2 linked regions of the Caenorhabditis elegans genome follow. The protein of the gene in region 2 interacts with the protein of the main gene of each other region in a pairwise test. Each region holds a gene or a part of one and is shown on either strand. Other genes may lie near its edges.

What was found. The genes of interacting proteins can lie anywhere in the genome.
Region 1: the proteins of C27D9.1 (region 2) and oops-1 interact in a two-hybrid assay, tested with the Caenorhabditis elegans proteins (one large-scale study listed by BioGRID).

Annotation. Positions count from the first base shown.
Region 1 is NC_003282.8:5,811,039-5,816,092, reverse strand, and holds oops-1 (OOcyte Partner of Spe-11 (oops-1)), read left to right. Parts: upstream 1-1,950; 5' UTR 1,951-1,958; coding exon 1,959-2,027; intron 2,028-2,076; coding exon 2,077-2,259; intron 2,260-2,308; coding exon 2,309-2,437; intron 2,438-2,479; coding exon 2,480-2,582; intron 2,583-2,630; coding exon 2,631-2,914; intron 2,915-2,969; coding exon 2,970-3,164; intron 3,165-3,209; coding exon 3,210-3,476; intron 3,477-3,777; coding exon 3,778-4,152; 3' UTR 4,153-4,510; downstream 4,511-5,054.
Region 2 is NC_003280.10:4,751,823-4,756,130, reverse strand, and holds C27D9.1 (F-box domain-containing protein), read right to left. Parts: upstream 2,719-4,308; 5' UTR 2,676-2,718; coding exon 2,604-2,675; intron 2,551-2,603; coding exon 2,428-2,550; intron 2,382-2,427; coding exon 2,179-2,381; intron 2,135-2,178; coding exon 1,856-2,134; intron 1,809-1,855; coding exon 1,133-1,808; intron 1,039-1,132; coding exon 856-1,038; 3' UTR 528-855; downstream 1-527. Other genes in the region: C27D9.2 (TransThyretin-Related family domain), read left to right, coding at 393-450; F41C3.1 (Exocyst complex component Sec8), read right to left, coding at 3,189-3,272, 3,322-3,387, 3,458-3,595, 3,642-3,743.

The sequences.
Region 1 (5,054 bases), on a different chromosome or scaffold from region 2:
TACACTGTATAAATAAACCTAGTGAAACATGATAAAAATTATTTTTTTTAGAATCAAAAAGAAATTTCACATAATTTTGGTGGCTAGTGTTTGAAGGTCAACATGAGATGCCCTCAAAAAATTCAAAAAAAAAATCCAAGAAGTTGGAGAAAAAGGTTCTTTGTTAACCATACCCAAAATAGCCAGGAAAACCGAATTTCATACGAGTCTCTCCAAATAATTTCTAAAAAGATTGTTTGACATTTCTGTATCGAACATTTTGAAATAAACCATACAGCCTTTAAGAAAACCTAGTGAACCATGATAAAAAATTTTTAAAATCTGAAAGATGTTGCAGGTCAGTTATTTATATATTTCCTAAAGTATACAAAAGCCTCAATACATATAACCCTTTCTGTGTGAACTTAGGGTTGTCTAAATTTAACAAGTTTAAATGTAGATGTTAACAATAATATTCGTTTGATGTTGTTATAAATATAATTGACTAGTATATAATTGACTTTCGGTTATCATTCAAAAATTTAAGATAACTTAGTGAAGCAAGATATGCTCGAAAAGAATCTGGAAATAGATGTAGAAAAGAAATCAAAAAGTTTTCAGTATTTTTATTAAACTTTAAAAATAAATCTGAGAGATGAAAGAGTAAATCTAAACAGGAATCGTTTGACGTACATATGTAGATAAAAAAATAAAAGCAATGGTTCACAGTAATTTATGCCTTAAATTTTTTTCCCGTTTCAGATTTTTGATAACAACAAATATAATTGATTAGTCCAATTCCACTGATATCCATGGACACTTTTATTATAGGACGCTTTTTCTAAAACTATTAGGCAATTTGCTGAGTCATTGAAGCCAAGTCATTGCTAGAACGTTTCATCAAGCATCATAATTATATATTTTTTCATTTTAGGTTTCTGGCAAACTTTTTTTACTAAGAAGATTAATAAGGTTAGATAATAACAACTTTTTGCAGAAGCTGATCATTTTTTTGAATGTATTGAAATGAGTTCTCTATGTAATTGATAAAGGTTGCAGGCTAATGCCAAATTTTTCAAAATTTTAAACATTATTGCAACAAGAGCACATGTACAATAGTTTAAAGGAATGCCATAATCAGACTGTGTAAACCAATAAAAAATGCTACAAAATAAGTTTTCAATCAAATAAAACTGTAAATAAATTGAAGCCAATTCAACTTTTTTTTGTTTCCAAAAGGAGGTACAGTTGAAGGTCATTTTGAAAAAGAAGAAGAGAATATGTGTTTGATTGTTATTGTTCGGTTCGGCACCGCAAGAATGACAGAGAAAAGAGTGGAAAGTAATCGGGATCGAATGGCTAATTGAGGGAAATGATGAGGAGAAGGAATAATTGGAAAAATGAGAAAACTGTTGGAAAAAGAATAGGTTTGATGAGTTAATGACATGAAAGAAAATGTTCCGGATTGATGTATATATTTTTCCAGATGGCATGAATTTTGTCGTTCCTTCCTTGAAATGCGTAAAAAATTAAATTAGTTTTTGTGTATTTATCCATATTCTCAAGGGGGTTTGACCAACGTTTGCATGCAATTGCAGAAAAATTGAAATTTTCAAACGAGTACGGTATTTCACAGGGCGTGCATACACCGTTGCGGACTAAACATTGAATCGTACGACAGCAAGCGCCCGCTTTTCACTTGTATTTTTAAAACCTCATTTTCCACTTTTCAGCTGATTTTTTCACATTTTCCTTTTTTATAGCTTACAAAACGTGCTGATCTCAGTTAAATTTGATGTACAAACTCAGCTTTTCCTTTACAATCGCTCTGAAAACTGAAAATTCGAGTTTGACCCCTTTCTCACCCGCCAATTCCTCATTGTACTTTGATTTTGATTTTTTGCTCCGTTCTTTTCATTTTTCTTCATTTTTAAGCATAGTTCCCTTATTTGATCAACCTCTAATGTTTACAGGTAAAAATGGAGAAGAACGAGAAGAACGGAGTGTTCTCGCGAGTAAGATCTCGTTGGAGAAGCATTTTCTCAAAGGTTTCGTGTCGTTTTACAATAAATCGAAATTAATTTGTGTTATTTTCAGAAAGCTAATCCAGTGAAACTTCGCGATTGCAACCGGCTGACTTTCGAGCGAATTCTCTCGGATCCCAACGAACAAATTGGCACAATAGTGGCACAGGCGACTGTTGAACCGATCACATTACCAAACGGCGGCGGAATTGCACTTATTCAGGAGACAACGCTTTATGAAGAAGATTACGGGCTTGTTAGTGTTATTTATCTCATTGAACATTCAAATTTCAATGATTTTCCAGGAAGATTCATCCAATTTCCCGATAATCTCCGAAACCGCTCAGAGCTTGCGTCGTCGCATGCGAAGACTGTCCTCTGGAGATCTGAACGTTATAAGAAGAATGACAGAAGAAATAGATTTCGATTTGAAGGTTATTTTCGAATGATTAATTTATTTTAATCCGCTCCCAAAGTTTCAGAATATCATCTACGATGGAAACGAGATCACCGGAGAAACCGACGCTGATAACGGGAACGATCGTGCTTGTTTCAAGCCGGGACCCGATTATCCAATTGGTTTTCTACTATTTTAAATGATTTATCGTTTATTTTATTGAATTTCAGACCAACAGATGCTGTTTCTGAAACAATGCATCAAAAAGATAGACACACGGCCACCGAACATGTATTATTTGACAAATGGCTGGTCAGTCGATAACTTTGAAGCGCTTTTCAAGTATATGATCCGGTCTGGAGAGGACTGTTCAAGGGATACTCTTCTGAGAGTTGAATTCAGAGATTGTGTTGTCTCACTGAAATCTTTGTACGACTTTATTGAAGAATACGCAACATTCAAAGGAGTTAAGATGCATTCTGACTACGTCTACGCTATTGTTCACTCGAGAAATGTAAATTCAGCATAGTTTTTTTTTTCTAAAAAATAGTTATTTAATTGATTTTCAGGAGAAACTTGAGAGACGACTGCGAGGCGCCATTGATTCATTTATGGAAATTGAATCGAAAATTCGTCAGGCGAGAATATCCTACGTGTCGTCGTTCACAATCAACTCACCGCACACTCCGAATGTGTCAATTATCGTGAAATTCTGTTGCCTGAAACCGTGTAACTCAGATGCCAAGACGAAAATGAGACAAATTGTGAGAGATTTTCAGTTTTCGATAAATGTATTTCTCCTTTTTCAGTCTGTTCAAGTCGACCACGTGACAGGGCGTTCTCGAATGTCACTTCCAGATGTTCGACAGCACGAAGGACTCGTTTGTGAATGTTTGGGTGATTTCTCACTGATAAGACATCGGCCGACGTCTGTTCCAGTCACAAAGATTCTGGATGAACATCCGCCGCTGATTGTTGACGAAGAAGTTCGTTTGAAGAGCTCTTATCAGTTCAATCCGGTCACTGGAGAACCGATTCCCGACGATGAGCAGCAGCAAGAACAAACTGAGATTGAGGTTAATAAGAAAATGTGAATTGTTGATTTACGCATCTTGTGTAGTCCCCGAGGAGAAGAATCAATTTTGCAAAGGAGATTACAGTAGCTGGCTGAAATAATTGATTTCCACCTGTTTTCGTTGATTATTTTTGATTTAATTTATTTATTTTAAGAAAAAAACCAAAAATAGTGCCAAATCAAACATTATTAGGCAACGAACACGATATTTTCCCCCGCTTTTCCATTTTTATTGGGTTTTACAAAGTAAACTTCCAGAAATCTGTTTAAAAAAGTTTTAAAATTGAAAAAATATCTTTCAGGCAAGTATCGAGGATCCACTGGAAATCAATGATTTCGTGGAAATGTTCCCATTAATTTTGGTGCTTCTCGAAAAAGCTGGAATCCAGGAACTGGAAGACGGCGATGCTCCAGAAAAATCGGTTTCAAAATATCCGAAAAAACGATCGATTGTCGATGGAGCGTCATCAGAAACATGTGAAGATACACAATCGGTTGGCTCGTCTGAAAGTTCTGAGCCAAGATCTCCAGAATTTACTGAATATTCGGAATCGGAAGACACTGCTGCGGATTCGGAGACTTCAGATTCCGAGTCTTCATCTGAAGATGAGAAGGAGAACATGAAATCTTCAATTAAAGAACTCGAATTGATCAAGGATGCTCCAGAGGATCTTTAAATTCTTCTTCATTCCGTTAATGTTTATTCTAACTTTATATTTATTGTTATAGAGAGAGCCACAATTATTGTTCTTATTGTACTATGCTTAAAGTTGCCAATTCATATGTCATTTATAACCCATAATAGTGTCTCTAGTTGCTCCCCCCACCATCTCGCTTTATTTTTTATTTTTTCTCATAATTTTCGTGTACCACGGGTACTTAGAGGTTCATAAATTCGATTATTTCTTGCCCCCTGATCCCCTTATACATAATCCAATCATCTCCCGTACCACACAATCGTTGATAATTAACTAATCATATCCTTTTGATTTTGCTCTTTTTTCTATGTTAAGTATGAAATTTTTATGAACCCTTGTTAGGCGTCCTCTAGAGCACAGATGGCGCCACCAATCTCGGTGATTTTTCGCCTGTTCAAATATGCAAATTTTATTCCAATGTCGGCATTGTTTCAATTATATTGTCCCCTGGTTTTCCAAATGACACGGACGATTGCGTGTCGATGAGTGGAAGCGAATCGAATCAAATTCGAATAATGATGAGCACATATTTCTTTTCGTCATTCCGTCCACAGAGAAGAAGCAGTTTAATATTGAATGGATGGATGGACACAAGTTGTCTGTCATTCAATGGGAAACAGACTATGAATAATGAGATTTTGGGTATCAGGTTAGATGAGAAGAAGAAGGCAGCTGATTGACGAGGTGCCGACTGGGAACACGTGCGGGAAGTATGAGATGACAAGAGATGGTGACAGACGGTTGGAATCATGACATATGTTGGATTTATTTACTTTTTGGATGTTTTTTTATAAAGATCAATTCGAAGAATTTTGATTATTGTGTTTCCAGTAGATTTTGACATGCCTTCTTAAAGACGCTAGGGTTTATCCAGATGGGTC
Region 2 (4,308 bases):
TGCTTAATTTTCATCGATTTTATTCAATTTTTCTCAAGATTTGTTTAAATTTTAGTTTTTTTTAGTTCATTTTATATATATAGCTACCTAGTTTATTCATTAATGAACAACTATGAAAAATCCATAAAAATACTACAGCAACAGAAGTTTGAAACTACAGTAATCTTTAAAGGCGCACAACATTTTGCATTTAATGAAAATTTGTCGTGTCGAGACCAGTTACGGTATTATTGGTACAAAAGCGGCAAAATAGGGGTTTCTATGTCAAAACAGCACTGTAAACTGCCAAGCGGAATTCGGAGTCTCGTTTGGCCACGCCCACTTGGTTCTTTGAACGTTTTTGCTTCACGAAAAAATGTCGTGTAGAGACCCAAATATGTTTCGATTTTTAGAATGTTCCTGGACACGATCGAACGCTTCCGGAATCTTAAAATATGGAGCAATGTATAATTTTTTGTTTTCTTGTTCACATACACATATTCTTGTTCTTACGGGTGTTTCTATTGAGAATGTATAAATAAAATGTAGATTTTTTATAAAAAATTTGTATTTATTTAGTTGATTCTGAAAATAAAAACTCAACGACAAATTCATAAACAATCAGTAGAGGGAATGTGGATGGGCAAAATGAAAACTTAGGGGGCGATAAAGTTTTATTATACTCAGAGAACGAATGATTACTATTCACAGGAAGATGGGTGAACTATGCTGGGGGGGGAGGTCATTCTAATATGGGTGAGGCTGGGTGTAATATGATTTAAAAATTAAAAAGAAATCATCAGTTATAAATGGTTAAAATCGAGGGTCTAGTTATGGTAATTACTGTTTTGAGATTAAAAGAGGATGGGAAAAACTTTAACAATCGGCTTCAATGCACACTTCCAGATGGAGAACACAATTGTTCCAGACATCAGTGAAGGAGAGGAGTGAACGGTCGAAGGTTGACGTGGAGCCCGGTAGCCACTGGAGGAAGGAGCGTCGGACGGATGAGTCGGACAGCATTGCAGCCACTGGTCGGCAGTTGATTTTGAATTGATTCTGAAATATTATTATTATTATTATTATTATTATTATTATTATTATCAATTAGAAATCAAAGAAATTAAGAGCAATTATCTGAAATTTGATTTACTTCTGTTTGCCTCAACACTTGCTCCTCGGTTATTCCGAATGTGTAAAGCCGGAAGAAGAGTCTCGAGTGTCTAGCAGTCCTCTCATCCTTCCACGCAAACTCCAGAAGTGCCTTACAGAAACCGTCAAACTCGACAGAAGCCACGTGAGCCAGTTCAGTCGGCAGAATGAGGTACATATCTTGCGTTGGGAAAATACGCTTGACGTTGGCGCAAACGTTCTGAAATGCAGTTGCCGACATCCCACTCTGCTCGAACATTCCCATCGATTCCGCAAAACACGTGGCAATCTCATCGCCGGCCTGCATGTCCACTTCGACGCGTTCGAAGTGATCCCGCTCGTGACGAGGTCTTATAATATTGTGATCCGTCACAAACATCTCATCGAATCGCATTTCTGTGAAGATCCTTTTATTCGACCACATCTCATGATCGATTGAAGAGTATTCCGTCATGAAACGGATATTGATTGATTTAACACGCCAAGCTTTGACAATCCTGTCAATAACCTCTCGAGGATGAGCCAATGTACCCTTTGACCACATACATCTGTCAGAGAACACAAGATCCAGTTGATCACAGTTAACATCTTGGGTAATCATTTTGGTGAGACGACTGAATGCTTCTTCTCTGCTTCCAACCATTGTAACGCAATGAAGAGCAATCTCTGCCAATAATCTGAAAATTCGTATAAAATTCACGACTCTTTGAAAAATTTAAATTACATTTCGGTAACAATCAATTGTTCATACGATTTTTTTCCCAGAATCGGGTTAATTAATGTACAAAATTGCACAGGACCGTAGATGCTCACACGGGAAGCAATTTCCGAGCACACTGCACATCCATTGCACAGCTCGTCGGCGCCTTTGTACGAATTCAGCGAATACCAGTTTCCGTCGAGCAGGCTGTATAAAATGCACTCGTGAATACGTTGATCTGGAGAAGTGAATCCAGAGAAGAGGAGATCGCGAACACGAATTCGAGCCACTGAATTTAAAAATCTGGAAAAATATAAATTTTTGAAGAATTGAAGATTTCCACAAACTCGAAGAATCTGGGCACTTGGGAGAACCACGTCCTCCGGTCATTTATCATAAATGATCGATCTTCAATATCATTTGACTCATCATATTCTGGTTCCTCTTTTTCATCTGCTCCTTCCGGCTGCTGATACGGACACACCTGCACCATTTTAAATTCAGCACGAACTTTGCTGAGAACCACGTTGTTGAATGATCTGCTCACTAACTGAAAGAAATATATTAATTTATTTTTGTGTTGATATTGTCTAAACCCGCAATCGCAAATTATCCAAAATCGATTTGTCGCCATCAACCGTGTATTCGATGATATCGTGGAGAATGTGCTGGTTGCTGAAAACTTTGGTGGCAGCGTCGACTTGAATGTCCAATTTTTTCTGCAAAATGAGAAATAATCAATTATATATCAAAACTGTTGGTTAAAACAAACAATTTTGCGCTTCGGACAGTCATCTTCTTCTCCATCGACAATTGCCTCGTGCAGCTTCTTTCTCAGCTGCATTTCCGTTGGATCTGAAAAAAATAAATTAATGGATTCGTGAAGAGGAGAAAACTAAAAAGAGAAGAACGTTTAATAATACCGAACGCTGCGGGAAGACAGAGTTTGGCAGCCGGCTGGTAGATCAAAAATGTGTTTTAACAATTTTGAGATCACTTTTTTTTTAAAATTTTCAGGTATAATATTTTTTCGGCCTGATTTTTAATTTTTTTTTAAATCAGAACAATCGAAAAAATGTCTAATTAGCTTAAAAACACAAAATGAGAAAGAAAATTTAATTTTAATAATTTTCGGTCTACTTGTCCGAGAGGACTACACAGTGCGTGGTCTAGGAGTTTCTTCAGCCACGGGCGTGGTTTTCAGAACTTGTGACATGAAAATCTGTGAGAAAAAAGCGGAGCATAGATGAAAAACTCTGAGAAAGTGAAAGTAGCTGTGATAAATGTAGCTGTGACAAAAAACACATATTTTCTGAACACTATTTTATTGAAATAAATCTCGAATCTAGTTCACATTCTAGTCCTGTTGCTCCACCGGCGCCACTTTTCTCACGAAGCTACGGACACACTGACTTTTTGCGTAGGTTTTGAGAAGTGAGCTCTGAAAATTATATATTTTGGGTCTTGTCACGAACTCAGTAAATGTATACCATCACACTAGTACGTTCCCTGCGCCAAACGTGATCTTCAACAAGTTCTGTGAACGCTGGATTTGGCTGTAAAATGTAACTTTTCAGTACTCTCAAGATAGGCAAGCAAGCAGAAGTTTCTCCTGTAACAACTTACATTCTCCCGCATGTCCTTGATGAAATCATCGAAGTGAAAGCTGATGATTGTGGCCTGACATGATCCAAGCAAGGTTGTGATCCTGCTGTTGTGAGTAACCAGGAGCATCTGCTTGATGTAGTGCAAGTCCTCATAGTTCTGCAAAAACTACATCAATATGGGTTTCTGGAATATTGTAGCTCACCTGAACAAGTTCTTCCATCATGTGCTTCTCAATTGTTGGGAAAAGCGGGCTAACTTCCAGTGGTACAATCATATCCGAAAGCTCAAGAATTTCCGCCACCATATTTGGTGTGAGCTTCGCCGGTGGATGATAGGTCTCAGTTGAGAGCCATGTGATCACCTGAAGAATTTTGTTGTCAAATTATGATGATGTTGACGCAATTTGGGAACCTGTTACCACACGTTCTCAGCCAATCTGTTTCAATGATTCCCCTCGTGTGTTCTATGGTGAAGTTTTTCTGTTAACATCAGTTGAACACCTTTCTTGTCGATAAGAAGGATAATTTTAAATTGAACTTTGGTATGTTAAAAAGTTGTTTAAGGTTAATTTTGTTTAATAAATATAATGATGCTCGTGCACTTGTGAATAAAGTTTTGCCGGGAAAAAAACTTGCTGGAAAAATCCCACAAATGGTAGAATACTTTTCCGGCATTTTCCAACATTTGGACATTTTTGAGCACTTTTTTAATATTTCCAGGTTATTTTCAGATGAAGAAAATTTTTTTTAGAAATTTATATTCTTGGAAAAACATGTCACACTGGCTCATGTTATAGAATTGCTGGACGGCAATTCTTACCCCTGGTTTGAACAAGTGTATGTACATTCTGGAATAATTTTTCAGAAAAT